Linked DNA regions of Xenopus tropicalis. Each later gene encodes a partner of the first gene's protein in a complex. Links are inferred from orthologs where the notes say so. Each region holds a gene or a part of one and is shown in the gene's direction. Other genes may lie near its edges.

The links.
Region 2: the proteins of pten (region 1) and mast2 are in contact, whole or in part, in an NMR structure (PDB 2KYL), measured with the Homo sapiens proteins. The link is inferred for Xenopus tropicalis from reciprocal best matches to the Homo sapiens genes PTEN and MAST2. Residues at the interface, in NP_000305.3 of Homo sapiens: Pro391, Phe392, Asp393, Glu394, Asp395, Gln396, His397, Thr398, Gln399, Ile400, Thr401, Lys402, Val403; in NP_055927.2 of Homo sapiens: Lys1112, Lys1113, Tyr1114, Gly1115, Phe1116, Thr1117, Leu1118, Arg1119, Ala1120, Ile1121, Arg1122, Val1123, Tyr1124, Met1136, Trp1138, Glu1141, His1170, Val1174, Ile1177, Leu1178, Leu1191.

Annotation. Positions count from the first base shown.
Region 1 is NC_030683.2:12,935,162-12,950,857, reverse strand, and holds the end of pten (phosphatidylinositol 3,4,5-trisphosphate 3-phosphatase and dual-specificity protein phosphatase PTEN), read left to right. Parts: coding exon 1-80; intron 81-5,573; coding exon 5,574-5,737; intron 5,738-8,598; coding exon 8,599-8,826; intron 8,827-11,980; coding exon 11,981-12,166; 3' UTR 12,167-12,550; downstream 12,551-15,696. UniProt on the Homo sapiens protein: Dual-specificity protein phosphatase, dephosphorylating tyrosine-, serine- and threonine-phosphorylated proteins.
Region 2 is NC_030680.2:92,379,785-92,395,480, forward strand, and holds the end of mast2 (microtubule-associated serine/threonine-protein kinase 2), read left to right. Parts: intron 1-3,149; coding exon 3,150-3,282; intron 3,283-4,211; coding exon 4,212-4,377; intron 4,378-5,040; coding exon 5,041-5,142; intron 5,143-5,215; coding exon 5,216-5,338; intron 5,339-6,235; coding exon 6,236-6,345; intron 6,346-7,772; coding exon 7,773-7,924; intron 7,925-8,526; coding exon 8,527-8,849; intron 8,850-9,096; coding exon 9,097-9,303; intron 9,304-10,131; coding exon 10,132-10,358; intron 10,359-10,531; coding exon 10,532-10,654; intron 10,655-11,525; coding exon 11,526-11,662; intron 11,663-11,855; coding exon 11,856-12,043; intron 12,044-12,186; coding exon 12,187-14,192; 3' UTR 14,193-14,342; downstream 14,343-15,696. UniProt on the Homo sapiens protein: Appears to link the dystrophin/utrophin network with microtubule filaments via the syntrophins. Phosphorylation of DMD or UTRN may modulate their affinities for associated proteins. Functions in a multi-protein complex in spermatid maturation.

The DNA of each region.
Region 1 (15,696 bases):
CCTGGAATACAGACCGGTGCCCCTGCTCTTTCACAAGATTGAATTTGAAACTATTCCAATGTTCAGTGGCTCAACATGCAGTAAGTATCATTCCATTTTTCTTTTCATTCTCGAACTATTGCTTTCTGGCACCGACACTGCTGCCTGTGTGTGTATATAATGAACCAAAAGGGAGGGCAGTTAAGAGTTTTTGAATTGATAGCTTAATACTCATGTACATTGGATATCCAACAGCCTAGAGATTAGATTAGGAAATTTCCCTAGCTGATGCACCATGTCGTCATTGCACAGTTGCTTTGGTGGATGAGGACGCTGCAGCTTCTTTTCGCTTCTTATTGTGCTGAGAGCAGGAAGGACTGGAGCAATAGGAAGACCATCTCCCCTTGTGTGGCCCCTCATATGCTCTCCATCTGTTGGTTAGAGTTTGAGATGGGGTGTGCTGCATATTCAGCTGCTTTCCCTTTAAATTTAGCGTTAAGTGTTCTGATGTGGGTCGATGTCAGTGTGGCATAGCCCTTAAAGGTTCATTTAAGGTTTGTCTAATGGAAATCTTAAGGGAAGATATACAGTTACTTGTATTTTTGGCTCCAGTTAAGGTGTTACCAATTGAGTTTGCATTGCATAATTTGCTGTGTTCCCAAGCTTTATAGATAGAACCTTATTACCCCTAACCCTCCTGTTGTGTTATACCTAACAACCAACCAAAAGGCAGGGTGACCTTAAATTTTTCAGACTATGGTCTCTGTAAGGTAAGACACGGCAACAGGGTGGGGGGATTGGTGGTGTTACTAGGTTCTCCTAGGGTCATGGGGTCTGGTTTTATGCAATTACACTTCTGTCGGAACCGTTATATTCATAGGAAGCCATTGAGTGGCACGGCCAGGCTTGTTATATGATTGGGCCCTGCACAACTTGCACAGTAGCAGCAGGTTTTTCTAGTTAAACGACTAATAAAAAGCAAGGGCAGGGCATTTTTGGGGGATGGCATTGCAACCACAAAAGGACAAACCAACTTATAGCAAATTTCATGTTCCATTTTGCATAGTCACAGGCATCTAAACACCCCCCCGGTTTCCCCTTACACTTCAGCTTTTCAGCTCGTTTCTATAAATATTCCCAATTTGATCTGCTTTCTGTGCCGATTATACTTTAGAATAACTGCTGCAGTAGCTGAACCAGTCTTTCTCTTTGCTTTTGTATAAACGGAATACCACAAACCCCTCGTGCAGTCGGGGCATTCTCTCTGCACTCGCTGCTGTGGTTTTGCGCTACCTTTGTTCCACTGTAAGTTCCATACACCCACCCTTCCTGAGTAACCACACCGCCGGGCTTCTATCTACACCTTACTGACACCTAAGCTGCCACTTCACATGGCTGGAAACGCTAACCTGTGAATTGATTAGAGGGTGCAACCTTGTTATCTGCTGTGCAGTCTTTGCACCTTTGATTTAAAGGGCGGAGGCCCATCGTCACCTAAATGGAGCAGTTTCTAGAGTTTCTCTAGAGAAAGCAGCTCTGCTTATTTTCTGTGTAGTGTTTGGCCCTTGAATCACCAGTTGTGTGAGACTTTATCATGCCTGGGTGCCTTCCCTGGTGGCCGAGGGGGGCCTGGGTGCCTTCCCCTGGTGGCCGAGGGGGGCCTGGGTGCCTTCCCCTGGTGGCCGAGGGGGGCCTGGGTGCCTGGGTCCCTTCCCCTGGTGGCCGAGGGGGGCCTGGGTGCCTGGGTCCCTTCCCCTGGTGGCCGAGGGGGGCCTGGGTGCCTGGGTCCCTTCCCCTGGTGGCCGAGGGGGGCCTGGGTGCCTGGGTCCCTTCCCCTGGTGGCCGAGGGGGGCCTGGGTGCCTGGGTCCCTTCCCCTGGTGGCCGAGGGGGGCCTGGGTGCCTGGGTCCCTTCCCCTGGTGGCCGAGGGGGGCCTGGGTGCCTGGGTCCCTTCCCCTGGTGGCCGAGGGGGGCCTGGGTTCCTGGGTCCCTTCCCCTGGTGGCCGGGGGGGGCCTGGGTCCCTTCCCCTGGTGGCCGGGGGGGGCCTGGGTCCCTTCCCCTGGTGGCCGGGGGGGGCCTGGGTCCCTTCCCCTGGTGGCCGGGGGGGGCCTGGGTCCCTTCCCCTGGTGGCCGGGGGGGGCCTGGGTCCCTTCCCCTGGTGGCCGGGGGGGGCCTGGGTCCCTTCCCCTGGTGGCCGGGGGGGGGCCTGGGTCCCTTCCCCTGGTGGCTGGGGGGGGCCTGGGTCCCTTCCCCTGGTGGCCGGGGTGTCGGGGATGCCTGGGGGCCGGTATCTGACAAGCTGCAGTGCACACATGCCTGTAGATAGATACCCCTGGCAGAAGCCGTGCAGCGTAGCTGGAGCTGCGGCGGTGCCATAGGATTGTGTAGCCAGAGAAGCAGGTGGGTGAGATTTTCCTGTCCCGCTTGTAAACAAGGACAGTTATTCTTTCTATTTGGTAACTAGGCAATAAAACCTGATCCATTCAGCCGGGTGTCAAGGGCCCTTTAATTATGTAAATATCAATTATTTTCCCCGGGCATCTGATCCCTTTGCATCTGGTAACCCCCCCTTTATAGTAAAAACAGTTTTTATTTTCTGCCAAGATGCAAGCCATGCACATATATATATATATCTACAGTATCTCCAATGCGGTAGTAGAATTCAAACAGGACTTTGTTCCTACATAAATGAGAAAAAAATCCCCTCCCCCAACAAAAGCTGACAGTCTCTCTAGTCTAAGGCCACATTTATGCCTGCGCCGTTTAAAGTAAACTTTTAATATGTTATAAAATGTTCTGTTTCTAGAAACTTGGTCTGTATTATTTTTTCTACTTTTTTAAATTATTTGCCTTCCTCTCTTCTACATCTATTGAACTTTCAAATGGCAGTCAGTGACCCCGGCAGCTAGAATGCTATTGGTCTGTGATCTTACAATGTTGTTTTAACTTTGTTTCTTATCTTTCTATCAAAGCCCCGTCATTATTCATATTCTTAGCTGGTTGCTAAGATAAGCTAGACCCTAGCAACCAACTAGCTGAACGTCGGCAGCTCTATAAAAGTAATGAGCCTGATCCAACCCCTGTCATAGTAGTCGGTACTGTGGCACCTGTTATCCAGAATGCTCGGGACCTGGGTTTTACGGATAAGGGATCTTTCTGTAATTTGAATCTCCATACCTTATGTCTGGTAAAAATAATTTAAACATGAAATAAACCCAATAGGGCTGTTCTGCCCCAATAAGGGGTAATTATATCTTAGTTGGGATCAAGTACAGGTACTGTTTTATTATTACAGAGAAAAGGGAATCATTTAACCATGAAATAAACCCAATAGGGCTGTTCTGCCCCCAATAAGGGGTAATTATATCTTAGTTGGGATCAAGTACAGGTACTGTTTTATTATTACAGAGAAAAGGGAATCATTTAACCATTAAATAAACCCAATAGGGCTGTTCTGCCCCAATAAGGGGTAATTATATCTTAGTTGGGATCAAGTACAGATACTGTTTTATTATTACAGAGAAAAGGGAATCATTTAACCATTAAATAAACCCAGCAGGGCTGTTCTGCCCCAATAAGGGGTAATTATATCTTAGTTGGGATCAAGTACAGATACTGTTTTATTATTACAGAGAAAAGGGAATCATTTAACCATTAAATAAACCCAATAGGGCTGTTCTGCCCCCAATAAGGGGTAATTATATCTTAGTTGGGATCACGTACAGGTACTGTTTTATTATTACAGAGAAAAGGGAATCATTTAACCATTAAATAAACCCAATAGGGCTGTTCTGCCCCAATAAGGGGTAATTATATCTTAGTTGGGATCAAGTACAGGTACTGTTTTATTATTACAGAGAAAAGGGAATCATTTAACCATGAAATAAACCCAATAGGGCTGTTCTGCCCCCAATAAGGGGTAATTATATCTTAGTTGGGATCAAGTACAGGTACTGTTTTATTATTACAGAGAAAAGGGAATCATTTAACCATGAAATAAACCCAATAGGGCTGTTCTGCCCCCAATAAGGGGTAATTATATCTTGGGATCAAGTACAGGTACTGTTTTATTACAGAGAAAAAGGAAATAATTTTCAGTAATTAGAATGATTTGCTTATAATAGGCCATCTCCCATAGACTTTCTGTAATTTAGAACTTTCTAGATAATGGGATTCCAGAGAATGGACTAGTTTGTTTACTGCCCTATATTGCAAATGTGAATTCAGCATTGTATGGTGAATTTACATTGTGTGTATACTATACATTGTTAGTGAGGTAAATGGCGGCAGCCCAGGGCATCGGCAGAAAAGAAGATGGGAAGCTACTGGGGGCATCAATATTGCTAATGGGCTGTTGTGGCCTAAGGCTAGTACACAAATTCCTTTAATAATGGACAACTAAAGCCTAACAAAGAACAGGCTAGAAATGCAAAACATTGATCACCATGGGCCAAAGAAGCCGGGCTTGTATAGCAGAGTTTCATTCCAGTAACTACAACCCCCCCCTCCCCAATAGTCCTAGTTAATAGGGCATTGCCAAAATATGTATATGTCATTTTCTTTATAAACTATAACATGGGAAAATGCTTGCAAGACCTCTAAGAATAGAGGCTGGGGCCCTACTCCAAGGGATGATTATAAGCAAATAAACCACATCTTTTAAATCAGCGTTTTTCAACCGCTGTTCCGAGATGTTGCCTGGTGTGCCGTAGGCAGGGCCGCAATTTTTACTTTAAAAAAAATCCGAGCCCTGTCATTGGTTGCGCCCCGTGTGTATGGGTGACGTCAGTACGCACGGGGCGCAACGTTATAAAAGGGCCTGTGTGCGGTCGCGTGTAGGCAGAAGTGCAGAGGCGGCGCGCGTGAGGGGAAGATGCTGCTGAAGCCGCCGAAGAGTAAAATGCTGCTGGGCACCAATGTATTAAGGGGGGCCACGGGGCACACTGACTTATGGGGGCACTGCTGCTGGGCACCAATGTACTAGGGGGGCTGGCTCTTGGCACCAATGTACTAGGGGGGCACTGCTGCTGGGCACCAATGTACTAGAGGGGCACTGCTCTTGGCACCAATGTACTAGGGGGGCACTGCTGCTGGGCACCAATGTAACAGGGGGGCACTGCTCTTGGCACCAATGTACTAGGGGGGCACTGCTGCTGGGCACCAGTGTACTAGGGGGGCACTGCTGCTGGGCACAGAGTTAAATTTTTTAACATTTTCTAATGGTGGTGTGCCTCGTGATTTTTTTCATGAAACAAGTGTGCCTTTCCCCAAAAAAGGTTGAAAAACACTGGTTTAAATGATACAATGGTGCAGACATCAGATCTCTGATGTGACATTAAGGAAGACACACAGAGTTACTAGTAGCAGCTACTTGTCACGGCTACTAAATGCCAGAAAATCCCCTGCCATAGACAATACTGAGAATTGCCTCTGCTAAAACACACGTAGAGACAATTATCAGTAAATGATCAGCATTGTCTGTATCTGTAGCTGCTACTAGTATCTGTGTGTCTTCACCCTAGAACAACAGGCTTTTCTTTCTCAATAACCTGCTTTCCTTCAGACCAACTAACAACCTCTCTGTATTCTCCTAGATCCCCAGTTTGTCGTTTACCAGCTGAAAGTCAAGATCTTCACCTCAACAGCAGGTCCCAAGCGCATCGAGAAGTTGATGTATTTTGATTTCCCCCAGCCTTTGCCCGTTTGCGGGGATATCAAGGTAGAATTTTTCCACAAACAGAACAAAGTGATGAAAAAGGTTAGTGTGGCTTATTTTTTTTCTAAGCAATGTTATAAATATGTTCACACACGGTTACACAACAACTGCACAAGTGTCCATTTAGGGTGAAGAGACACGGAGCTACTAGTAGCAGCTACTTGTCGTGGCTACTAAAATAGACAATGCTGATTATTTACTGATAATTGTCTCTACGTGTGTTTTAGCAGGGTCAGTTCTCGGTATTGTCTATGGCAGGGGATTTTCTGGAGTTTAGTAGCCATGAAAAAGTAGCTGCTACTAGTAGCTCAGTGTGTCTTCACCCTTACGGCGTTGGATTTCTTGCCCCTGAAGACTCTGGCAGCTTTGGGTACGGTGCCCTGGCACAAACGTGGTGCACACACACTCATAAAGAGAATGTCTGGTCCATTTATTCCGACTAATATTCCTGTTTAATCTGTATGGCGATGTGAACGTTTGCATCTGGGACGTTATTTGCATCACGTGTAGCTGTAATTAACTATAAATGACCGGCTCTTATCAGCCATACCTCTGCTCTGTCACTTGAATTAAATATTTACACACAAGCTACTTGCAAGTACACCCTGTGAAACAGAGCCACACACTAGTTTAAGGCTGAACCCTGACCTGTGGGAACGAACGCCAGCTTCATCTCTCCTTGCCTTCCCATTGGTGGCTCATGCGTGAAGGCACTGTGGAATATTGTAGGTTTTTTTTTTATCGTTTGAGGAAGAAAGGAATCATAAAAAATAAAGCAAACTGTTCTTCCTTTGCAACAAAGTAGCCTTTATCTGACAGCATTGATTATCAGTTGATCATTTACACTTGTGGCACTGTAGACTAAACATTGGGGCTGTGGGGCATGTACTTTAATCACAGCTACTTGTGATAGCAAGTCACACACGGGGCCGACTCTCAGGCTGCAGCGGGGGCTGTTTCTCTTCCTGCATTTAAGCACAGCCACTAGCCAATGTCTTTATACCCCCCAGTCACAGGGCATTTTTTATCTTTTCTAATAAGTAGTCCTCTGTTCTTGCCATTGGTTTCCTTGGGAACCACTGTTAGTCAATCTGCTGTGTGCTACAGCGCCCTAAATGTTGACCGCACTATTTATGCTTTTGTATAACTGATGGAATTTATTTACACAGGCAAGTAGGCCCTTGTTTATCTTACACGGAAATAAGGTTTGGATTGGAATAAGACGTTTTGCTTTTGTAAACTTGTCAAAAAAGGCAAATAATGCAACATGTGGGAGTTCTGAAAATCTCCTGTTCAGAAAAACACACACATATATAATATAGTTAAGTTGGGTTGAAAAAAGACCAAAGTCCAACAAGTTCAACCCTTCCAAATGAACCCCAGTGCACATATAGACAGTCTTACCAACCTATCTATTCAACTCACATTAACTATATATACCATTCTCTATACCAGCTGTAGATTATACAACCGAAATAGCCTTTTCATTGTTTGTTTATTTCATTGCTTGTTTAAGAAATCGCCCAAAGCCACACTAAAGCTAATGTCCTACAGAGTGATTTAGTCATCTGCTACCACTGGTGACTAAAATGCCTTTCCAATCGCCAGTGGAAAGGCTTATACATTGCGGAGATCTATCTCAGGCAACTAAGGCTAATGCACCACTGGGAGATCAGTCGCCCACCATCAATCTCTGGTACCTTGGGCAACTAATCTCCCAAAAAGCATTTTCACTGGCGCAGTGTTTCCTTCTGCAGGCAACTTCGAGGTTTAGGCCTTTTCCATTTATTGCTGGTGGGAGAGCTTTTCGGGGAGATTAGTCGCCCACAGTAGTAGAGATTTATCATGGGCGATTAATATCCCCTAATCTAAAGGCATTAATTGGCAGAGCAGACATCTTATCAGTGCTCTTTGGCCTATGGCACATGGGGCATTTTATCCCCCACTGCCCACAGACAGAGGCGCAGACAAAATGCCCCTCTCCACCTGTCATTAATCCAAATACTACAGGATAAAAACGTAAAGCAGTGACATGCAGAGAGGGCCATCTGTTTCAGCTCTGTGTGCATTGAATAGGGCACATTCAGTAGTAGTCTCCGTAATGACAGATGTGGGGGGGGGGGTTGTTTGTCCTCCGCTGTTCATCAACTGGGGGCAGTGGTTGACAAAATGCCTGATGTGCAGTTGGCTGACTAAAACATCTCTTTGGCTTTTTGTTTGATATCGGCAATGGACTCTGTTGGTTACAAAGTGTTAAAGTACTTGTGCGTTCCACCAGTGGTCAGTCAGACCTCGTGACAGCTATCCAGTGTTTACTTTAGAGCCTGTAATGTTTGTAGTTCATAGAAACCAGTTCCATTGTATCAATGGAAATAGCCATTCTGTAGTGCTGGAGAGGGTCTAATTTGCAAGGGGTCAAATGCCATTCGTGACTCCCCACACACCTACAAGAGGCAAATATTCCTTATAAATGACCGTTACTTGGATGACTCGTGTCCTCTACACACACAAGCCATACCTTTACCAACATGGCCACTCCTGGCCCAGTCCACAGCCATACCTTTACCAACATGGCCACTCCTGGCCCAGTCCCCAGCCATACCTTTACTAACATGGCCACTCCTGGCCCAGTCCCCAGCCATACCTTTACTAACATGGCCACTCCTGGCCCAGTCTACAGCCATACCTTTGCTAACATGGCCACTCCTGGCCCAGTCCCCAGCCATACCTTTACTAACATGGCCACTCCTGGCCCAGTCCACAGCCATGGCTTTACCAACATGGCCGCTCCTGGCCCAGTCCACACAGCTCCTTTTGAATACTTTTTCATTTTTACGAAGCCATTGAAGGTTATTTCCTGCAGCACTGTTTACTAAAAAAAAAATTGTGTTTTTTGTTTTCAGGAAAAGATGTTCCATTTTTGGATAAACACATTCTTCATACCAGGACCGGAAGAGTATTCAGAAAAAGTAGAAAATGGAACGTTAGTCGGGGAGCAGGAGCTTGATGGCATATACAGTACAGAACGTTCAGATAATGACAAGGAATATCTCACCCTCACTTTAACTAAAAACGACCTAGATAAAGCTAACAAAGACAAAGCCAACAGATTATTCTCTCCAAACTTCAAAGTAAGTACCCAAAGCCTTGTTTGATGGAACGCACAAATGTACTGTACCCTGCAGCCAAATGGCTGGCATCTGACATACCCTCCGAGGGGCGCTTCAGCTGGCATTTACTGAGCTACATGCTCGGCAGGAATCCTCACTGCCAGCTGACTGAACTGCAATACATAGCATTGCGACCAATCACAGTGAGGCTCCCCTGGTTGCAGCAATTGCACAGAGAGTTCTCCATTACCTGCCTACAGTAGCTGTGATTAGTAGTGATGTGCAGAGTGAGAAAGTCGCCCCTAACCTGCCCACTTCCTACCCGACCCAGCTTCTGCCCTGTATTTATAGGCCCGCGTCCATCCCACCCTGCAATGATGTCACAAAACTGAAGGCAAAGGCTGGTAGTGTTAGGTCGTGGGCAAGCTTCAGTACATTGCTATTACAGGTATGGGATCCATTATCCAGAAACCTGTTATCCAGAAGGCTCGAAATTACAGAGAGGCTATCTTCTATAGACTCTCTTTTTTGATAAAATAATTAAAATTTTTTTTAGAAATTTCCTTTTTCTCTAATTATAAAATAGTACCTTGTACCTTATTGGAGGCAAAACAGTCCTATGGGGTTTATTTAATGTTTAAATGATCTTTCAGTAGATTTAAGCCAGGGATCCCCAACCAGTGGCTCAGGGGCAACATGTTGCTCCCCAACCCCTTGGATGTTGCTCTCAGTGACCCCAAACCAGAGAGTTATTTTTGAATTCCTGACTTGGGGGCAAGTTTTGGTTGAATAAAAACAAGATTTCCTACCAAATAAAGCCCCCTGTAAGCTGATAGGGTGCATAGAGGCTGCCTAATAGCCAATCACAGCCCTTATTTGGCTCCTCCATGAACTTTTATGGTGCTTGTGTTGCTCCCCAAGTCTTTTTACATTTGACTGTGGCTCACGGGTAAGAAAGGTTGGGGACCCCTGACTTAAGGTATGGAGATCCAAATTACAGAAAGACCCCTTATGCAGATAACCCCAGGCCCCAAGGATTCAGGTCTCATACCTGTATAAGCAAAGAATCGTCTGATGTGCCGTAGGCCATAATCTTTCTCTAGACCTCTCAGCCCTGCCCATTTACTATTTCCCACTGTAGTATATTCCATGGCCCTGTGTATGTAATGCACACACTGTGTCTGTGTGTTAGAGCTATATTATATATATTATAGTAACATCTGCTGCCTCTTTCCCCTGTTATCTCCCGCTGCAGGTGATTAGCTGGCCGCTTTTACTGATAGAAAATAGAGATGTGTCTTTGTCTAATGTAAATATTAGACACTGAATATATCTTTATTCTTTGCTATGTTTGCCTGGATTCATGTTGCTGTTCAGCTTTGCTGCTTGTCTCCATTGTTCTCACTTGTTTGGACAGCCTTTTCTTCTGCCGTATCTCTCATCAAGTGCATAGTAACCAGGTCTGAGGTGTCTCTCTATAGGCGAAGGCAGACTTCACTATTAGTCGCGGCGATTTTGAAAAATTGCAGCTACTAATTGCAAGCTAGCTAGAATGACGGTGACTAGTACCCATGCGGATGTGGTAACTTAGCCAGCTACGGGGCTCACTGTCGCTGCGGGTAATTTTTTTACAAATCGTGGCCGCCCCATCTGTCTTCTCCCCACTATTAGTGGCTGGTAACTGGCATACTGATCTTCAGGGGCCAGACTGTCAGTATGCCACTGTTCCTACTGCAAATGAGCCGCTTGCTTGTTTGGGGGGAAGCCCAAGCAGCAGAAGAGGCAGGGGAAAGGCAATAGGCAAGTGGTAAAAACAGATATGCTCAATGCATATGATCGACCGGACCGATATGGAAGTGCGGCGTGAATGCGTATGTACGAGACACAGAAATCCACGGGGCCACCCCTTCCTTAGCAGCTTTATTAAAGGAACAGTTACACCAAAAAATGAAACTGTATAAACATAATTACCATGTAATATACTGTTGCCCTGCACTGGTGTAAAAGTTGTATTTTTGCCTTAGAGACACTACTATAGTTTATATAAATATGGGGGCAGACATTCAATCTGGAAAAAAAGGCACAGGTTACATAGGAGATAACAGATAAAACACCTTTATATTCTATAGAGTTTATCTGTTATCTGCTATGTATCCTGTGGCTTTTCTCCTTTTACCAGCTTCAATGTCTACACAGCAGCTTAAGGTCCCCATACACCCTCAGATCCGTTCGCTTGGTGATGTTGCCAAGCGAGCGGATCTTCTCCCGATATCCCGATGGGTGGGCGATATCGGGAGAATCTATTTTAACGACGGGTATAGGCAAAGTCGATCCAGGGACCACATCAACGAGCCGATGCAGTCCCCGATCCGACTAGATTTTTTTAATCTGCCCGATTTCAGGCCAGATATCGGTCGGGCAGGCCCGTTGGTAGTGCCCCGAATCGGTCTAAGGGACCCATATTGGCAACTAGAATTGCCCCGTGTATGGGCACCTTTATTTATATAAACCAGTGTTACCAGTGCAGGGCAACAATACATTATAATTTAATTACTTTAAAGCTTTCATTTTTTTTTGTTACTGTTCCTTTATAAAGGCCCCCATACACGGGCCTGATAGAAGCTATCGATATCGGTCCCTTGGACCAACTCGGCAGCTTATCGTGTAGGGGCAGAAACGAGCGGGCTGGCCAACCGATATCTGGCCTGAAATTGGCCAGATATCGATCAGCCAGGTTAAAAGATTCAGTCGGATCGGGGGCTGCATTGGCTCGTTGATGCGGTCCCCGAACCGACTGCCCCATTGCCGCCTACATAATCCGGTCGTTTGGCCCCAGGGCCAAACGATCGGATTTTTTTTTTTTTTTTTTTTTTTTTTTAACTTCAAGCTCCCCGATATCGCCCACCACCCGTAGGTGGGGATATCGGTGGAAGATCCGCTCGCTTGGCGATCTCGCCAAGCGAGTGGATCTTACAGTGTATGGGGATCTTTAGGGATGTGCCCCTTAAGTATTATATACAGAGAAGAAGAACCCTAATCTGACTCAGGAAATTATCCATCAATGAGGCATAAACATAGATTGGCTGATCCTTATCACTCCTGGCTGGGGGTTTACTCTAACATTAGGCCAACTGCTTGGGATCCTGACACTTAACTCTTTCTTTTCCGCCCGTAGGTGAAGCTATTTTTCACCAAGACAGTAGAAGAATCTTCAAACTCGGAAGCTAGCAGCTCAACCTCTGTAACGCCGGATGTTAGTGACAATGAACCTGATCATTATCGATATTCTGACACCACTGACTCTGATCCAGAGAATGAACCTTTTGATGAAGATCAGATCACACAAATTACAAAAGTCTGAAGGGGGTTTTGTTGTGTTTTTTTTTTTTCCTCTTTTTTTTGTTTTTCCCCAATTTTTTGTTTTTTTTGTTTTTTTTTAAATCGAGGGAAAACCACACAGGAATGCAAACTTGAATAAACTGAGAAAAAAAGGACCTTTTTAAAAACAAAAAACCCGGCATGTGACATTGTGTCAGACACCAAGTTATAGGAGCAATTATCTATTCCTTGACCAATCCTGCCAGCGAGGTGTTAATGGCGCTGCTGCCCAAACGGAAAGAGAGAGACGGGCGAAAAAAATCGTGAATGAAAAGGTTACGTAGCGTTGTTATGTATATACCCTTTTCATGTCTGAGGACATATATATCTTAATTAGGTTAAATAAAGATGGCACTTTCCCATTTTATTCCAGGTTTTTTTTTTTTTTTTGAAAGTGGAGATTTGTATACTTTAGCAATCATGCCTTTTTTTTTTCTTTTTTTTTTTTTATGTGTTTGTGTCACCAACTAAAAAAAAAAAAAACAACCAATCACGTGCATTGTGACACCCCCCCCCCCCCCCCCCCCCCCGGCTCTACGCAATAGGTAACCTTGCGCATCGTGCCGAGGGGGTTTCGTTGCGTTTAGATGGGGCGGGGTAACGAGGGGGGATGCTTAGTAACGCAATTCCAGCCGCATTCACCGCGTGGTGTCTTCTGCCACGCCCCCTTTTTGTTTCCCCCCCCTCCCCCTTAGCATGCTATGATGAGAAACCAATCCGGAACATAATAAGGAATGCTGCTTCATTTTTTGTGCGTTTATATTTTTTGAAAGCAAATGGTGCTAGAAAGGGCAGCTGTAGGGAGCGATTCTGTGTTACGCAGGTACAGGAACCCTCTTTTTGTTTTCATTCACCAACACAGCGAATAAACATTGGCATTTTTTATTACCCCATCCCTCCATTCTATTGGCTGTTCCATCTCTTGTGTAAGCAGGGCCAGTTTTCCCCCATGTGGGGGCAGATCTGATAATCACTTACCCCCCAGTTATTGCATTGATTCCCAACGTACGTGCTGTGAATGCTTTATGTGCTGCCTGCAACTTTTTTTCCCGGTCCCTTACTCTTTTCATTCAACATCCATTTTTATTGGTGCACAGGATATTTCAATGTGATTCTATCGATTTAATTTATAGGTTTAAAAAAAAAAAAAAAAAAAAGAAAGGCAAGCCGGCATGATGCGTAGGGTAAAATTCATTACAGTCAGCAGGTCCACTTTTTTTTTTGTTTTCGTTGTTTTTTTTTTTAAAAAAATCGTACACATTCTATTACAATGCGTTTTGCAGTTTTGCACACTTTTAATGTCATTAACTGTTAGGGAATTTTACTTGAAGAATGTTTAGTACCTACAATGTCTTTCTTTTTTTTTTTTTTTTTTTATATATACATATATATTTTTTTTAATTTACACGTGGTTTAGGAGCCACTGTTGCTTTAAACTTTTTTTTTTTTCCAACACTGCACAGATATAAAAGTTGTGTATTTCAAAAAAAAAAAAAAAAATATAAAGTGTCCCAAATATTCTATTATGGTATGATTGCTATTAAACTATTAGAGATCTGAACTGGCAGTGTTTTTGTTTATTCACAGTGGAAGCCAATTTGTAGCTTTTTAGATTTCCCCACTTCTCGCCCAGACGGCAGTTAAACACGGCTGCTGGTTTTTTTTTTGGTTGCAAACGGGGCTTCTGGATTATTAGCCAAATACTTCCCTGATCCCTAGTACTACTTTCACTTAAATAGCTCTTGTTTGGGTATAAACGGACGTAGCGGCGCGGTCGAGGTCTCTTCTTCAGTTGGGACTGAAGGATTAATGGCTTCTATCCTGTTGGGTTGGAAGAAAAGATGGCCTTGTATCTTATCTTTAGCCTTATCTTTAGGTTGCCCATCTCTATTGGTCAATATAGTAAGATCCTAGCTGGGATCAAGGGGGAAGCTCCTTTGCGGTTGAGGTCTCTTCTTCAGTTGGGACTGAAGCATTAATGACTTCTATCCTGTTGGGTTGGAAGAAAAGATGGCTTTGTATATTTCCTTATCTTTAGGTTGCCCATCTCTATTGGTCAATATGGTAAGATCCTAGCTGGGATCAAAGGGGAGCTTCTTTGTAGTCGAGGTCTCTTCTTCGGTTGTTCATCTTGGGACTGAAGGATTAATGACTTTTTCCCTGTTGGGTTGGAAGAAAACATGGCCTTGTATATTTGGTAATCTTTAGGTTGCCCATCTCTGTTGGTCAATAGTAAAGTCCTAGCCAGCAGCAAAGGATCCTAGCTGGGATCAAGGAGGAGCTTTTTACCTATAGCAACCATCAGCAGGTAGCCTTTACTGATCATCTGTTTTAAAGCATCTTAGTGGTTGCTATGGCTCACTGCTCCTGGTCAGGTGTATTGCCTGTTATTACATAAGAGGTGGGGGATAAGTTCCTTATCCCAGTTATGCCTAGTCCCGTACTTTGAGTTGAATGTCAACTGCTCCAGGTGTAGAAATGGTCGCTACAGACGATGGTAAAGATTTGGCTTCCTCAAGAACAGCGGTTCTCAACCTTCCTAGTTCCTCGTGTTGTGGTGACCCCCAACCATAAAATTATTCCTAAGACCCTATGAAATGCGATGGTCTTAGGCGACCGCTGTGAAAAGGGTCGTTCCACCCCCAAAGGGGTCCCGACCCACAGGTTGAGAACCGCTGCTCTAGAAGTACATGCTGCTCTTATTGGCTTATTTTGTAACATTAATGGAGATGCACTAAACTAAAAACAAGCATTGGGAAAGCATGAAGAGCCGGGTATAGGAGGGAAGATGAGGCTCTGTTGGTCTTTGATCATCGCTGTGGCCGTTTGTCCCGTTATGAAGTTTTCAGTTGGCTCTGAGATGAGCAACGTGTTGGCTTTTGAGAGAACAGAGCAGATAGGATGTACACAAGGGATGTACGAGCCTCACAATATACGTCCTCATTGGTGGCCCTCTTGCATGAACAAATGAAACTGTGCTGTGTAGTGACATAACGTTTCAAGCTTTCATAAAATTATTGGTGCTATGGATTTGTCTTAAGTCTTATCGTTAAGGGAAATATACGCCCACTAAATAAGGGTTTTATTCAAAATTTTATATAGGAGCCAGACAGAGTGTGTATGATAGTGCCCTGCCATCTGGGTATATGTGGCAGCTCCGGGCATTGGGTTTAACAGCATGCTTTGATTCTGTTGGATCGGAAATGACCAAACCGTAGGCCCAAACTAAAGGAACAATGGAATGTGGTCATCTACGTATCTAGTGATATGGTATCTGACTGATCAGTTGGATTGAGGGTTTGCTTTCGTATTGCCGCCTTTCAGATCAAACCCAGTGTATGATAACCTTTCCTAAACTTGCTTTATCACTGATGAGAATGCAGTAGAAGTATCTAGTAGAATTAAGTCTTTACGAATTGGACTTTCTGAGTTCTCTTGAAAATGTTCCACCACTCATCCAAGCAGCTTCTCAGGTTCAACAGAAGAAGCCAATTGGATGAACGGTTGAACTGA
Region 2 (15,696 bases), on another chromosome or scaffold:
AAAAATAAATATCCTCCCTTTTTTACTGAGGGGTGTGATTTAGGATCCACGTGGATGGCAAATAGGTCAAAATTTAAAGTGACAGGTGCTCTTGAAATACTATTCTTTAGATGTTAGTGTTTTCTTCCTTCTGGCTGTCTGCCCTACACACTACTTGGTTGTGTGTAGGGCAGGGATCCCCAACCTTTTATTATTCGTGAGTCACACTCAGAAGGGGTGAGCCACATGAACATGAAAAAAAGTTCCTTAAGGATGCAAAATAAGGAACATGATTGACCATTTGGTAGCACCATGTGGACCGATGGCCTGCAGAATGCTCTGTTTGGAGTAAAACTGCGTTTCTGTGCTTCCAAAACTTGCCTCCAAGCCAGAAATGTAAAATTGGCACCTACTTTGCGGATACTGGGAGCAACATTAAAGGGGGTGGTAAGCAATATGTTACTCACGAGCCATTGGTTGCGGATCGCTGGTGTAGGGTATGCAGAGCAGATCCTCACTGGGCAAGCCACTTGTATATTAATTTAATCTCTGACTAAATAACACAGCATTCCTTAGGCACAACATTAAAGTATGAAGCAAAAGGGCTTGGAAAGTGGTTTGTTAATCTAATATTCTGCTTCCGCATTTTCATTTTTTTTTTTTTTTTTTTTTTTATATCTTTATGTTTGGGTTATTTTCTATGTCATCATTACTAAAAAAACAAAATAAGAAAAAAAGATAAAATAGAATATAAAATAAACAGCATAAGTTTAACATACACATTTTATTTTTTATGCAACAGGGAGTTGAGTCACTTACTTATTAAACGAAACAGAACAGAACATTGCCCGTTCACCTAATTTGCTAAAATAAACCCTGGCTTGTCTTTAGAACTCAATCTCAAAATAAACAAACCTGCCTTTTCTTGGTCCCACAGGAGGTTCTTGCATTTTCAACAAAAGCTTTATTATGTAACAAATAACATTCAAATTTAATAAAAAGTTCAACCCCTCTTTGGCACTCAGTGGGCAGTGACTGAAAGCACATGCCAATTCAGCTCTCCCAAAATTGCAGTGCACCGTAACTTTAGTGTGATGATCCAGTAAAACTATTTCCAGTCAGACAATCAGTACAATTAAATGAGATGTAATGGTGGTTCTGGTTCACTCAAGCATTAACTGGGCACATGGTCTTAAAGGGAAACATATTTAATTTACATTGATCCAAAAAGTGTTTAATATAATTTTACATGGGCATGCTCAATTGTCTTAAGATCAGGAGACTGACTTGGCCATTCATTTCCACTTCTTTGCTGTGTGTTTTGGGTCATTGTCCATCTGTATCATGAAATGCCACACAATCAATTTGACTACATTTAGCTGGATTTGAACAGACAGTATGTCTCTTAACACCTCAGAATTTATTCGGCTGCTTCTGTCCTGTGTCACATCATCAATAAACACTAGTGTCCCGGTGCCACTGGCAGCCATGCACGCCCAAGCCATCACACTGCCTCCACTGTGTTTTACAGATGATGTGGTATGCTTTGGATAATGAGCTGTTCCACGCCTTCTCCATACTTTTTTCTTGCGATCATTCTGGTATAGGAAGAGTGCATATGCTGAGGAGTTCCCATACCAGTCAGTTGAACTGAAGAATCTGCTCGGATGAGTAGTGAAACATCTTCAATGATTACTTAACAAGTCCAGTTGCTTTAGATTTATTTATACTAGATATATTATTTATACTAGACATTCTGGTATAGGTTGATCTTGGTTTCATCTGTCCAAAGAATGTTTTTCCAGAACTGTGCTGGCTTTTTTAGATGTTTTTTTAGCAAAGTCCAATCTAGCCTTCTATTCTTGAGGCTTATGAGAGGCTTGCACCTTGCAGTGAACCCTCTGTATTTACTTTGCAGTCTTCTCTTTATGGTAGACTTGGATATCTTGGATACGCCTACCCCCTGGAGTGTTGTTCACTTGGTTGGGTGTTGTGAATGGGTTTTTCTTCACCATGGAAATGATTCTACGATCATCCACCACTGTTGTTTTCCTTGGACGTCCAGGTGTTTTTGCGTTGCTGGGTTCACCAGTGCTTGGTTTCTTTCTCAGGATGTACCAAACTGTAGATTTTGCCACTCCTAATATTGTAGCAATTTCTCGGATGGGTTTTTTCTGTTTTCTTATCTTAAGGATGGCTTCTTTCACCTGCATGGAGAGCTCCTTTGACCTTTGTCTGTTCACAGCAAAATTTTCCACATGCAAGCACCATACCTCAAATCAACTTGACTCAACTACAGACTTGCCAACACCTGCCCATGAAATAGCCTTTGAGCCAATTGTCCAATTACTTTTGACCCCTTAAAATGAAGGGATTGTGTTAAAAAAAATGCTTAAGTTGCCTCACATTTTTATGAAATCGTTTTGTTCACCCCGCTGAATTAAAGCTGAAAGTCTGCAGTTTAACTGCATCTGAGTTGTTTCATTTAAAATTCATTTTGGTAATGTACAGAACCAAAATTAGAAAAAAGTTGTCTCTGTCCAAATATTTATGGACCTAACTGTATGAAAAATGTATATTCCATGCGGACAGGGTACCAAAACATTAAACTTGACAAGTGGCTTACATATAAACTAATGAGTTTCCTTAAGTACCCAGTCATAGCTGAGTCCTCTGTCTGGCTGAGAATTGCTTTTCACCAGTGGCCTCATCCAAAATGGCTGTTTCCTAGCATTATTGCAAATATGAATGGGCAAAACAATTGGATGTGTAGAGTGGTTAGAGATGTAGGTTTGTTGGCTTTACTATAATACTTTATTAGTTATAATTAAGTAAGAAAAAAAGCTTTGTTTAAAGTTGCAGATCATTTTATATCCTGAATAAAACGCATTTTGAATTGATTATCTACCTTCTGCATATAAAAAGTCTGTTCACCAAGGATCTTTAGAGAATATTTGGAGAGGATTTTGAACTATTTGTGAAAGAATTAGAAAATCCCAGTATGTACTTGTTTGTACAAGTAGATTTTTATATCCGTCTGGTGTTGCATTAAATTATTTGTAGATAGTCACTGCACTTCTATGCAAAAGTGAAGAATAAAAGGGGAATAAAGCACTATAAATGTGTTCAGTTTTCATTATTAATACATATAATTGTAACTGTAATTGCAGCCTCCTAATTACCTCAATGGGGCACATCAAGCTTACAGATTTTGGTCTCTCTAAAATTGGGCTCATGAGTCTAACCACAAACCTTTATGAAGGCCATATTGAAAAGGACACAAGAGAATTCTTGGATAAACAGGTAAGCAGAACCAGCAGGTAAAGATTTTCACAGCCATACTGGTATAGATACAAATGTCCAACTTTACTGATCATTAGCTTTGGCTGTTGGGATCTGAGACAACAGCATGCTGGAGAAATAGAGTTTAGATATTGTGGTTTAGTTAGCGACCTGTTAGGTCTTTGTTTTTATTTTCCAATTTATAGTAGAGAAAACTAATTGCCAATTGACTGGTATCAGCAACTGCCCTTTCAGAACCACATATTACTGTATATTTCATTTTGGTTTCATAATGCCATTTTTTCCAATACAGCTTGGGAGTCCATGGTCTGTAGTACATGTTGGTTATTGTAAAGGCCTCCTGACTTTCAGAATCTTTCTATAGTCACTGCATTTGTGTTAAATAGCTGGAACAAGGATTTCTTTTTATATTTGGCAACATTTTTGATCAAAGTAGCAGTAGAGCTATCTCAGGTTTTCTTGGGATGTTAAGATGAAGGTCTTTATTCATAATCCAAAAAACTTGTTGACATGGTTGATGTGAGGACATTGCCAAGGCATTTGTACCTTGGTGTCCTGTACAGCAATAGGGAGAGCTTGTTCTAGAAACATAATTGAGTTTCGCCAGTGTTTAATGGCATCTGTGAAGTCATCTTTTATAATATTCAATGTGATTGGTACATCTTGTAGGTCCTGACCATGGCTGTTGTGTGTTGACATTGATCTAATGTGGTTAAAATTTGTAAAGCTTTTTCCCATTTGATCATATGGGGTGTTTAAAATCTAATGGTACTGTTAGCAAGAATTTGCAACATTCTGAGGGTATTCTCTCATGTTCAGCTCCATGTTGCAAAATGTCAACGAGTTGTTGATGAAAACCTGGCATAGCTTTGGTGTTCTGGACTTATAATAAAATTCACTACAGACCTTTTTTGTCATTCTTCCACCAGGTGTGTGGGACCCCAGAGTACATTGCTCCAGAAGTTATTCTGAGGCAAGGATATGGGAAACCTGTTGACTGGTGGGCTATGGGTGTCATTCTATATGAGTTTTTAGTTGGTTGCGTTCCTTTCTTTGGTGATACACCCGAAGAATTGTTTGGACAAGTCATCAGCGGTAAGTACCTTTCTTTTAGTTTTTTTTTAGCTAACTAAATAACTCGTTTTTTGACCATTGTAAGATTGTATTTAAATGGCTTTAATATATGAAAGTGTTAAAATATTAGAAGTTTAAAAATAAACTCATCTTCCCATCTTGAATTTGGATTGGATCAGTGTACTTTTTGCAGTGCAGATAATAATTCAGATTTTTAAAATGGATTTACTTTTTCCCTGTAATAATAAAAGAGGACATTGTTTTGATCCCAACTAAGATATAATTAATCCTTATCGGATGCAAAATAATCCTATTGGGTTTAATTAATGTTTTATTGATTTTTTAGTAGACTTAAGATATGAAGCTCCAAATTACAGAAAGACTCCTTATCCGGAATACCCTTGGTCCCGAGCATTCTGGATAATGGGTCCTATACCTGTACAAAAGTTAAGTAAAGGATGAAGATAGTGATGGTTATGCACAAATGCATAACTAATAACTGTGCCCTCGTCCCTTCCAACAAGCATCTTCTGATAGGATCAGATGCTGAATAGTGTATCTGTTCTATATCAGACATTGCAGTTTTAAAAACACCAACTCTTATTTACACAATAATGTATGGGTTAAAGTTGCATAGGTATAAATGTTACTCAGCTGACTTCATGGGGTTTTATTAATTAACAGATGAAATTGCCTGGCCAGATGGAGATGATGCTTTGCCTGCAGATGCTCAAGATCTGATATCCAGACTTCTCCGACAAAACCCCTTGGAGAGACTAGGAACAGGTCCGATTTAGTCACAGTTTTCCATAAACCGAGAACACACAACAACATTAAAACCATTATTTGCATTTTATAGGTAGCGCAATTGAGGTTAAACAGCATCGCTTCTTTAAGGATTTGGATTGGAATGGTTTGCTGCGGCAGAAAGCTGAGTTTATTCCCCAGCTAGAATCTGAAGATGACACCAGCTATTTTGACAGTAAGGAAATACTGTACATATTCATTCTGTGTAGCTGTAACATTATCTGTTGTCTATAATGCATGGCAGGGTACGCTGCAAATGTAAAACATTTCTATCAGATCATAGGTATATTTAGTCATAGCCATATCATTTAGCCAAGATATATCATAAAACTATAAACTGTGGCTCTCTAGTACCACTTCTTTTACATTTTGATGACCTACCAGACTCCCTTAAATGCCCATGATTAGTCAATATGCACATGGACCTTATCAGGCAGACTTGCAAATTGGTCAATATACACATGGACTTTATCAGGCAAAGACTTGCAGATTACTGTATGTTTTGGACATTTCATGTCAAAAGCTCTTAAAAATTAATTGGCCAGCAGCAACCATACAGGTTTTAAAATTGATAAGAAGGTTAGGTTAGCAGATGTAGTGACACATATAGCTTTACAAATAGCACTTCTGTGTCTATTGCATAGGATTTATGTTTGCAATACAAAGAGTCCGAACCAGAGAAATTGCTTTGCTGAGTAACTTTGAGCCTGCAGTAACAGTGCACACCACAGATACATGCTAGCAAATCGGTTTAAGATGAAATTGTAGTTGTAAACTTCTCCACTATGCTTTCTAATGCTAAAATACAGATTGTATAGAAAACTAGAGCCTATACACTATTTGAACTCCCTATACTGCATGATTTCTTCTACCTAGAACTTAGTGTAGATGATATAGCAGAAGTTTGCTGGATACATTCATGTGTTTAACAACAACATTTGTTATTGTGGGAAAAACTCAAATATTCGCTTCAAACATTAGTTATCTCCATCTACAATATTTACAAATATCTGTAGTTATTGTTTGAAATCAGTAAATATGTACACACTCTGACTAACTGCTGATCGCACAGCCCGATCTGAAAGATACCAGCACATGGATTCTGAAGAGGAGGAAGACACAAATGATGAAGATCGAGTAGAGATCAGACAGTTTTCATCATGTTCGCCTCGATTTAGTAAGGTAAATCTAGATGCTTTTTTTAAAGTATACAGCAGCTATACATTTAGTCGAGTTTAGGCAAGAACAGCAGCATAAGACCTATTCCCTTGGGTGTTTTCTGATGTCCCATGGCCTCTCACATTCCCATAGTACTCGTGTCATTCTCAGAGGAAGATGCAACATTTATTATGAATACAAAATTGAGTGGAGGGCTAAGTAAGAGACAAGATCGGTTATCTGTTTTCTGGTCTTGGTATCATTTTGGCGACACCACTCCTGTCTCCTGCAACAACCCTTTGCTGACAGAATTCTTTAACCAGCTCCTCTATATCATAAAATGCCATAATGTATATACCCAGTCTTCCTCAGTCACAAAGAGAAAATACACCAATGCTGTAGCTTTTTGGGGTTGGGCTGTGGGTGCTTTCCCATGATAATTGCTGGCTTTGTTTCAAGCTGAAGCAGGTTTGTTACCATGACCATTTGGTTAAAAGCCCTTTAAAAGTGGAACTCAACATAAATTTAAGGTAGCTAAATATCACAGGGCTAATTCACATTCCACTAGTTCACATTAGTTCAGTTATTGTCAGTACACTATGAATAAATACTTTTTAAAGTTGAACTTTAAAACGGATTTGTTTTATTTCTTCTGGTGTTTTCCAGTAGCAGCTCAAGTAAACCAGGTTGCCAACTCTCAACTGTTTGCTACAGTTTGCTACATTAGTGAGTGATGAAGCGCCCAACAATACCTGCCCCTTCAAATTAGTTGGAATCGCTGCATGTAAAACTCATTACATGCAGCAATTGCAGGTAATCATTTCAAAATGCCTCTTTCTGCATTTTCTGACTAATGCAAAGGGGCAGGTATTGTCAGTGTTTCATTGCTCTGTATGTCAGCACCCTAAATTAAGAAAAAGCAACTGCAAAATCTAATTTCTGATTTAGAAGAAAACTATTCAAAAACAATTGAGATGCAAAACTTAAAATACCCCTTTAAGTTGTAATTTTAGACTGTACCTATAAACTGGAGTCTTTTTTATGAAAAAAAAAATCAAAATAAATGTCAAAAATGTCAATAAAATAATGCTTGTACCTGTATAATGGTTCACCTGTTTGTGAGGAGAATTCTAAATATGTCCAGTTGTAGACAACATAAATATGCACTGTTACTGCTTTATTCAGAACATCAATCTGGGAAAAATTTCAAGATTTTAGTTTCCATAATTAGGGAAGGCGAGGTTTGTCTCAACTTCTTGTCTGATAAATGAATCATTCATTTATTTTCTAGCCTGTAGTGAGCGGGGGTGATTAAGTTGGGCAGTCCGGCAGCATTATAGCACCAATAACTGAAGATTCAGTAATGTTGTTTCGGAGTTTAATATTCTGCAGAATGCATCCATACCTTTTCTTTCAAACAATACAAAGCCTAATCCAGTCAAACTGTGCAGGTTTATAGCAGCATGGAGCGCCTTTCCATTCATGAAGAAAGAACTCCTCCACCCACTAAACGCAGCCTGAGTGAGGAAAAAGAAGACAAGTTGGATGGACTGGGTGGGTTGAAGAACAGAGACCGGGGCTGGGTCATCGGATCCCCCGAAATGTAAGGGATTTTGGCAGTTGCCCTATCTCTACAATACATACAGTATATATCACTGTGGCGTTCAAGCCACTTTCTGTTAGTTGGTAAATTACCTGTTATGTGTGAGTGATCATCTAACCTTGTTTTAGATTTGGTTTAGTCACACAACAGCACCATTGAACTATGACACAGCAGTGGAAAATTCTAATGTAACACAAATTTTACATTTGGAGTTACTCCTTACCACTATACGTAATAAAAGGTGCTAAGTTTGCCCAGGCGCAGTTACTCATGAAAACAATAAAACAGGTGACCAGGAAATGCTACCTTCTGATTGGTTAAGTTACTGCACCTGGACAAACTTAGGGGCAGAGAAAATATTCCAAACATTATTTGCATTTTTTCTCAAATCAGACAAAAAAAACAACCTCAATCTCAATAGCATTTTAGTGAAGCAGGTATTTATAAAAATATATAAACATTATAGGCCACTTTTTCATAATGCAGCACAGCAAGTATTAGTATTAGTAACTTGTTTACAAAAAATGACTTAATGTATTGTGATATGTTTTTTTTATAGCTGTTTGGAAAGTATTTTAATCATGGTTTTGTTCTATATTTAGCCTTCGCAAGCGCCTGTCTGCATCTGAGTCTTCTCACACAGAAAGTGACTCCAGCCCACCCCTTACAGTCAGAAGGCGATGTTCTGCGCTGGTTGATATGCCTCGCTTTGCCATCTCCACAGAAGAAGAATTGCACTTACAGAGGAAGCTAAGCCAGTCTCAGCAGGATGCCTTAGCAAGCCCATCGTCTCTCCAAAAAGATGGCAACCCCCTCCCTATCCTAGAGCAGCCAGTGGAAAGGGAACTGAAACTAGATGATGAATTGGTGCCATCTACACCTTCTTCTACAATAAGCAATATTAGCAGCTCAACCACACTGACTGGTAATTACCCAGTACTGTAAGCCTGTAAACCCTCTAGTAATATTCCAAACAACACAATATAGTGCACTTATTTTATGTCTAAGGCTGTTATTTTTTTTCATTCTTTCATTCTTACTTTTACTAACTGTTTGTTTACACCCTTTAAAAATAAGTAAGTTAGTTTCATAGTTAGTTGAAGTCTGTTTTGATGTAGGGATCCTATGCCATAAGGTAAATAAACTTGAAATTCCTCTTATTGTTTCACCAGCTGGCAGCAACGCTGACTTCTCAGACAACAACATCGGCATAGACGTTTCTGAATTTGCCAGTCCTAAAGCCATCAGTGACTTAGCTGTAAGAAGAGCACGCCATAGGCTTCTATCTGGGGATTCTGGCGAAAAACGCCCCTCCAGACCAGTCAATAAAGTGATCAAGTCAGCCTCGGCCACTGCCCTGTCACTCATGATCCCCTCTGGTAAGCAATGCCTCCTACTCCTACCTTAGCACTGTACTGCAGGACACAGTATGGTATTCACATACAAAGTCTGTTTAATTCTAAATATATAAAAGTATTTCAGTATACAGAGATGTCTGATTTTATGGCATAATATATTTCAGACATTATTATTTCATGTTGCTGGCATTTTATGTTATATTATATAAAACTATAACAATCTATATCTCAATGTAGCAATTATAGAAGCACTCACAGGACATGAGAAAGGTCCTCTCAGGAGGAACAAAACATTTACTTTAAATAAATATTTATTGCCCGCTATTAGTCCCATGATTGCTTTTAGTTTTGCCTCATGGATATTATTAATTTTTAAATGAACCTAGGCTAGCGTGAGAATGTGCTAATGAAGTATAGTGACGTATCTGGCCTAGAATGTCATTGTCAATCAATGGGGCATTACAGCGTATTTTGGAATTTCTTTATACTAATCCTGCCCGGTTTAGGTATTTTTTTTTTTTTATAGGAATCTCAATGTTCAAGCACTCTACCCAGAGGTAAAATGATGGTTTTTGCCTATCTACTCATAACTCAGTGCGGCAATAGTGGCGCACAACTGGTGATTTCAGAACTTGAAGATGTCTAAAAAAATCTTAGTGTAGAATTATGTCCTTGTTATAACAGAATGGGTAAATTTGTTCATGTAAACCATTTAGGCAATTAGTGCTTTATAACCTGCTTTGTGTAGATAGACAAAGTTTAAAAAGTCCACAACTCTTTAGTATTAGTTTTGGTTTTCAATTTCACTTTTGAGCTTTTAATTTCTAAACAACTGATTTAATTTTCCAGATTACCATACTTATTCACCTTTGGCCAGCCCTATGTCGCCACATTCGTTATCCTCAAACCCATCCTCACGTGACTCTTCGCCAAGCCGAGATTTTTTCCCAGCTATCTCCCATCTCAAACCACCAATCATCATACATCGGGCAGGAAAGAAATATGGCTTCACTCTGCGAGCCATTCGTGTCTACATGGGAGAAAGTGATGTCTACACTGTCCATCACATGGTGTGGGTGCGTATAAATATATATATGTGTATACATGCTTCTGTGAGAGCACTTTCTATACAGTGTATGTCATAGAAAGAGTTAAACAGTGTTTTAGGACACTGGGCGAGTCTGCTCATCACTAGTAGCAGCACTACATTTACATGTTTATCTTAACAGTATAATGCACTCTTTTGTAGCATGTCGAAGAAGATGGTCCAGCTCATGATGCTGGGCTCCGAGAAGGTGATTTGATCACTCATGTCAATGGAGAACCTGTCCATGGGCTAGTGCACACCGAAGTTGTGGAACTCATCCTGAAGGTACCACTCAACCAGATGCTTAACACTGGTTTGCTTGTATTTGCTTTTTTAGACTAATGGGAAGATGTGTTACATTGGTACCCACATTCTGTCATTTACAGGAGTATTAAAAAAACATTTTTATCTTCACAGCTTTTCACTGTGGACAAGTTTGGCATTTTGTTAGTAGTTGACAATGTTAAGGTGGACATGGGCTGCAGAATATATGTTTCTCAACAGTGGTACTTTAGGGAGCATTTGGAGGGGAGGTCATGGCAGGGAGTTCCAGACACAGGCAGTAGCTTGAGAGGTGAAAGGCAGAAGCAGAGCTGGAATATATGGTGGGGCTTGATTGTTAATGTGAGTGTTAGTAATTTGAATTTGGTTTGAGTCAGTGGAGGAATTACCATACTTGGTCAATTATAAAACCTACACTTTCCAAAATCCAAGGCCAAGGAGAAGCTGTATAGAAAACTGAAAGTTCTGTATAACCACAATAGCTTTTCTTGCTTTTTTTAAAAAAAAAAAAAAATTTGCAATCATGGCATTATTATTAGGGATGCACCGAATCCACTATTTCAGGATCTGGCCAAAGCCTCAATCCGTTGCAATTGATGCGACCTGATCAAATCTGAATCCTAATTTGCATATGCAAATTATGATATGGAAGCGCTAAACACCACCACATGGGTACATTTTTTTTGCGCACGGTGAACTGTTTTCAACTTCAGTGTCTGTGACAAAAAGTTACATGATTTTAAGGATTCTGATTTAGAAAAAGCCCAAATCTTGTCCGAATTCCGAACCAAATCCTGGACTTGGTGCATTCCTAAATATTATTCATAATTGTATCTTGAAATTCACATTTTGTTATATTGTGTTTGTGTGGCAGAGTGGAAACAAAGTTTCCATATCCACTACTCCATTTGAGAACACTTCAATCAAAGTTGGCCCAGCACGGAAAGCTAGCTACAAGTCAAAAATGGCTCGCCGGAATAAGAAGAGCAAACCAAAGGATGGGCAGGAAAGGCAAGTTCATATTCATGATCAGCTGAAATTGAATAAAATGCATATATATGTATGTGTGTGTGTGTGTGTGTGTGTGTGTATATATATATATATATATATATATATATATATATATATATATATATATATATATAATATAATATATATTTGTAAAATCATACATTACAAAGCTTATCTTTCTTGTTATGCACAGCAAGAAAAAGTGTTCTTTATTCCGGAAGATAACGAAGCAAGCATCACTACTTCACACCAGTCGCAGCCTGTCCTCTCTCAACCGTTCCCTGTCCTCTGGAGAAAGTGTGCCAGGTTCTCCCACCCATGTACTGTCCCCTCGTTCTCCTACACAGACTTACAGATCTACTCCAGACTCGACACACTCAGGTATAACTGTGTGAGCAGTTCTCACCTTCTGTTTAGGCAAACCAGAAAATAACAATAGATCTGTTGTTGTGTTGTTTGCTATGCAATGATAGGGGTTGCAGTAATATCTCTCGTCAATTTTGTCCTTTTTTTCCCTTTTCTAGTTGGTGGTAATTCTTCTCAAAGCAGCTCTCCAAGCTCCAGTGTTCCTAACTCTCCAGCCAGTTCTGGGCATATACGACCTAGTTCCTTGCATGGGCTGGCTCCAAAGCTACAAAGGCAATACAGGTCTCCTCGTCGCAAATCTGCAGGGAATATACCACTTTCACCTTTGGCACATACGCCCTCGCCAACATCTCAATCCACCTCTCCACAACGTTCACCTTCACCTCTTCCAGGACACACTCTTGGAAACTGCAACATTCTGCAGTCTTTTCCGGTCAAATTGCACTCTTCTCCACCACTTGTGAGGCAAATATCAAGGCCAAAAAGTGCTGAGCCACCACGATCTCCTTTGCTGAAAAGGGTACAATCTGCAGAAAAGTTATCTGGTTCGTTATCCTCTGAGAAAAAGCTGGCTTCTTCTCGGAAGCACAGTCTGGATATCTCACACTCAGATTTCAAAAAAGAGATAATGCATCGTGACTTAAGTTTGCAGTGCTTGCCAGAGTCTATGAGTGAGAACACTGGTGGCAAAGTAGGGCTGGCAGAAAAAGGGACTCTGCAGAAACCTTCAAGGAAACTTGGTGCTATTCGTCACGATAGGGTTGAAAGAAGGGAGTCACTTCAAAAACAGGAGGCTATTCGTGAGGTGGATTCTTCTGAGGATGAAACTGATGAAGGCTCAGAGGACAGCCAGGATGGGAGGCGGTTAGAGAGAGCTTCATTTAGAAATGAAAAAGTTTCTGCTTCAGCAATCAGCAGTGGAAGAGATTCCTGCCAAAAGCAGAGCAAGAGTAGCACCGAGGATGATTCTTTCCTTCTTCCAGACTACAGAAGAAAGAGTGAGGTGAAAGAAACTGCTGGTAGGAAAGTTATTGATGTCACATTGCAAAATACCCCTGACCAATCTGGGATTCGGTCCTTTTGTAGTCCAAACCTTCCCCCTGATACTTGCCTGATACCTGCTGCAGAAATCAATATGCTAAAACAACAAAACATTTTAAAACGTGAGGTAAATGCTATGCAAATACAAGGTAAACCACTCCAAGAATCAAACCAACAAAGTACAGGCACTGATAGGAAGAACACTCAGAATATTGTGGTGCAAAAAGAAGCAGACTCCTCCTCAGATCCACATCTATGTCAGTCAAGCAAAAGTAGCTGTGTTAGCATTGAAGCTCATTTAGAGGTGCCTAATTGTAAAGAGACTCTTCCTGAAGATGGCTCTAAAGAGTCTGCACTTTCTCTTTCCTCATCTTGCCTAAAGACCACTTCAAATTCTGTTGCAGTACACTGCTCTGCAGGAGATACATGTTCAACTACCAGTACTGCATCAGATGCTTATGTGCAATATTTGCCTGTTGTAAATGAGCAAGGGCAGCAGGAACCTGCTGAAAAGCAAAGCACTTTAAAGGGTATGAACAACTCTGTTTCCACAGAAGCAACCTTGTCTCGAAAAGTGGGTACAGTTTCCTCAACCAACCCTGTGTCCAGTGAGAAAAAACCATTGGTCGCTCATATTGCAACCATGGCTAAAAGTGTCTTGGGACCAGTAAAGCTTAGCATGCCGGGATCAAAAGGTTCAGATGACCATATAAACAAAAAGGAGAAAAATTCAAGGCAAAAGAAATCTGAGCTTTCCAGATCTGAATCAATGCAGGAGAGCATTAGAGAGTTGTCTACAGACACAGGTTTCAGGACATGCACCTCCCTAAATGAGTGCACTCTATCTGCTGTCTCTAAGCAACAAGACTGGACTTCTGGACTTTCTAATAAGTCAGAACGACTAAGAGTATTTGATGTTTTAGACCCTAGAAAAATTCCTCCATCAAAGGACCAGCCACCACCTGCAGATAGATACATGGTGAAATCTCCATCACTCAGCGAGGTCAGCAAAAAACTAAAGAAAGAGGAAACTGTGACTCAAGGGACAAGCAAAGTGATTGGTAGTCACTCCCACACACAGGATGGTCCATCATTACATGCAGATAACAAAAGAAACACATAGCAGTATGTAAATTTGGACTTTTGTTGGCAGCCCCTGCATGTTATACACTAGCATAACTATGTATCGTTTTCATGCCTTTGTTTTTGTTTGTTTTGTTTTCATGTTGCATTGTTTCCCATACATTTATCCTCAAAATTAGTTAAGAACTCATTTCTTTGTAATATATTGCATGCCCCCACACTATTATTTGGGGGTGCTGTAGATATGTTGGTGGAACAGGGTATCTTAAAAGGCAGGGGTATTGTACCCATGCTCAGTAGGATATTGGTGTAGAATTATGTAAAATGGATGTATTTTGGATACAGCCCTTACATCTGTTAGATACACATATGATTTCACTGGCTTTCCATTGCTAAAAGCAAGATTATATTTTATACTTTTCTGGTATTAGGAAATTATTTTTTTAATTTCTTTAAAGACAGCCTAACCCCTTAGAAGGCATATGAAGCAGTCTGGCTTGTTTGTATATATATGTATATGTAGGTTTGAGAAACTGGAAGCCTAAAGTACATCATATCTACAAGAAAAGTAAGACCTCTGAATACAAAGTATGCTTTGTTGCCATAATGTTAAGTAGCAGCAAGAGATCGGGATAGATAGGAGCTGAAAGCAAGCAGCGCATTGTCGTACAGTGCTGGGGAATTTGGCCAGAATGAAGCTGACAAGCTTTTGGCAAACACTTGGTTTTGAAACTACAGACCCCCAGCATTGACCCTGTTTAGGGTTACCTGTATCTGTACAAGAGCACAGACAATGAAGTGAGTAAGTATATTGGAATGGAGAAGGTAGAAAACGTGATACAGTTCTCAGAAACACATTAATTTGTTTCCATGGTGCTCTTTTAATGACCTCTCTAATATAGATTTTATTTTCTTTCAACTCATTCTTTTCTATTGGTCTTTTCTGGTAAGACACCATGCAAATTCCGTAATCATAGGTTCATCACTGAGGATTCTGTATTCGTTCTCCATTTTAAAATCAGTCCATAACTGAAACATGGTAGAATGGTAAGCTGTAGCTTACAGGAGAAGCTTAAAGGGGACGTGAACCCAAAAATAACATTTGAGATAATGAAAGTAAATATAAATGAACAATTTCCGATGATTAAAGCTATTTGTATATGTCAATATATTGAAAGCACTATCTGGCCACTGCCATTTCCTGCACTGCTGGATCTGATCATGAAACAATATATCCGTACTCAGCTCCCATTCAGTTCTCACAATGCCTTGCATATACTGTGATTAACAGTGGGCAAGGAATTGTGGCACTGACTGAGCAACATTGCTTCACTTGTTTTAATGTATATTTAGTCAGATCCAGGCATGGCATGTAATACCAGTTGCATTTACAAATATTTAATACTGCCAGTCTGACATGATTAAATAAAGGGGTTTCCTGAGCAGGAACAGCATACAAGTCCCGATTGGGGGCCAAGAAGTAGAAAAAGGAGGCCCCGTTCTCTTGTGTGGACCTTAATTAATAGCAATTTGGTAATAGCTGA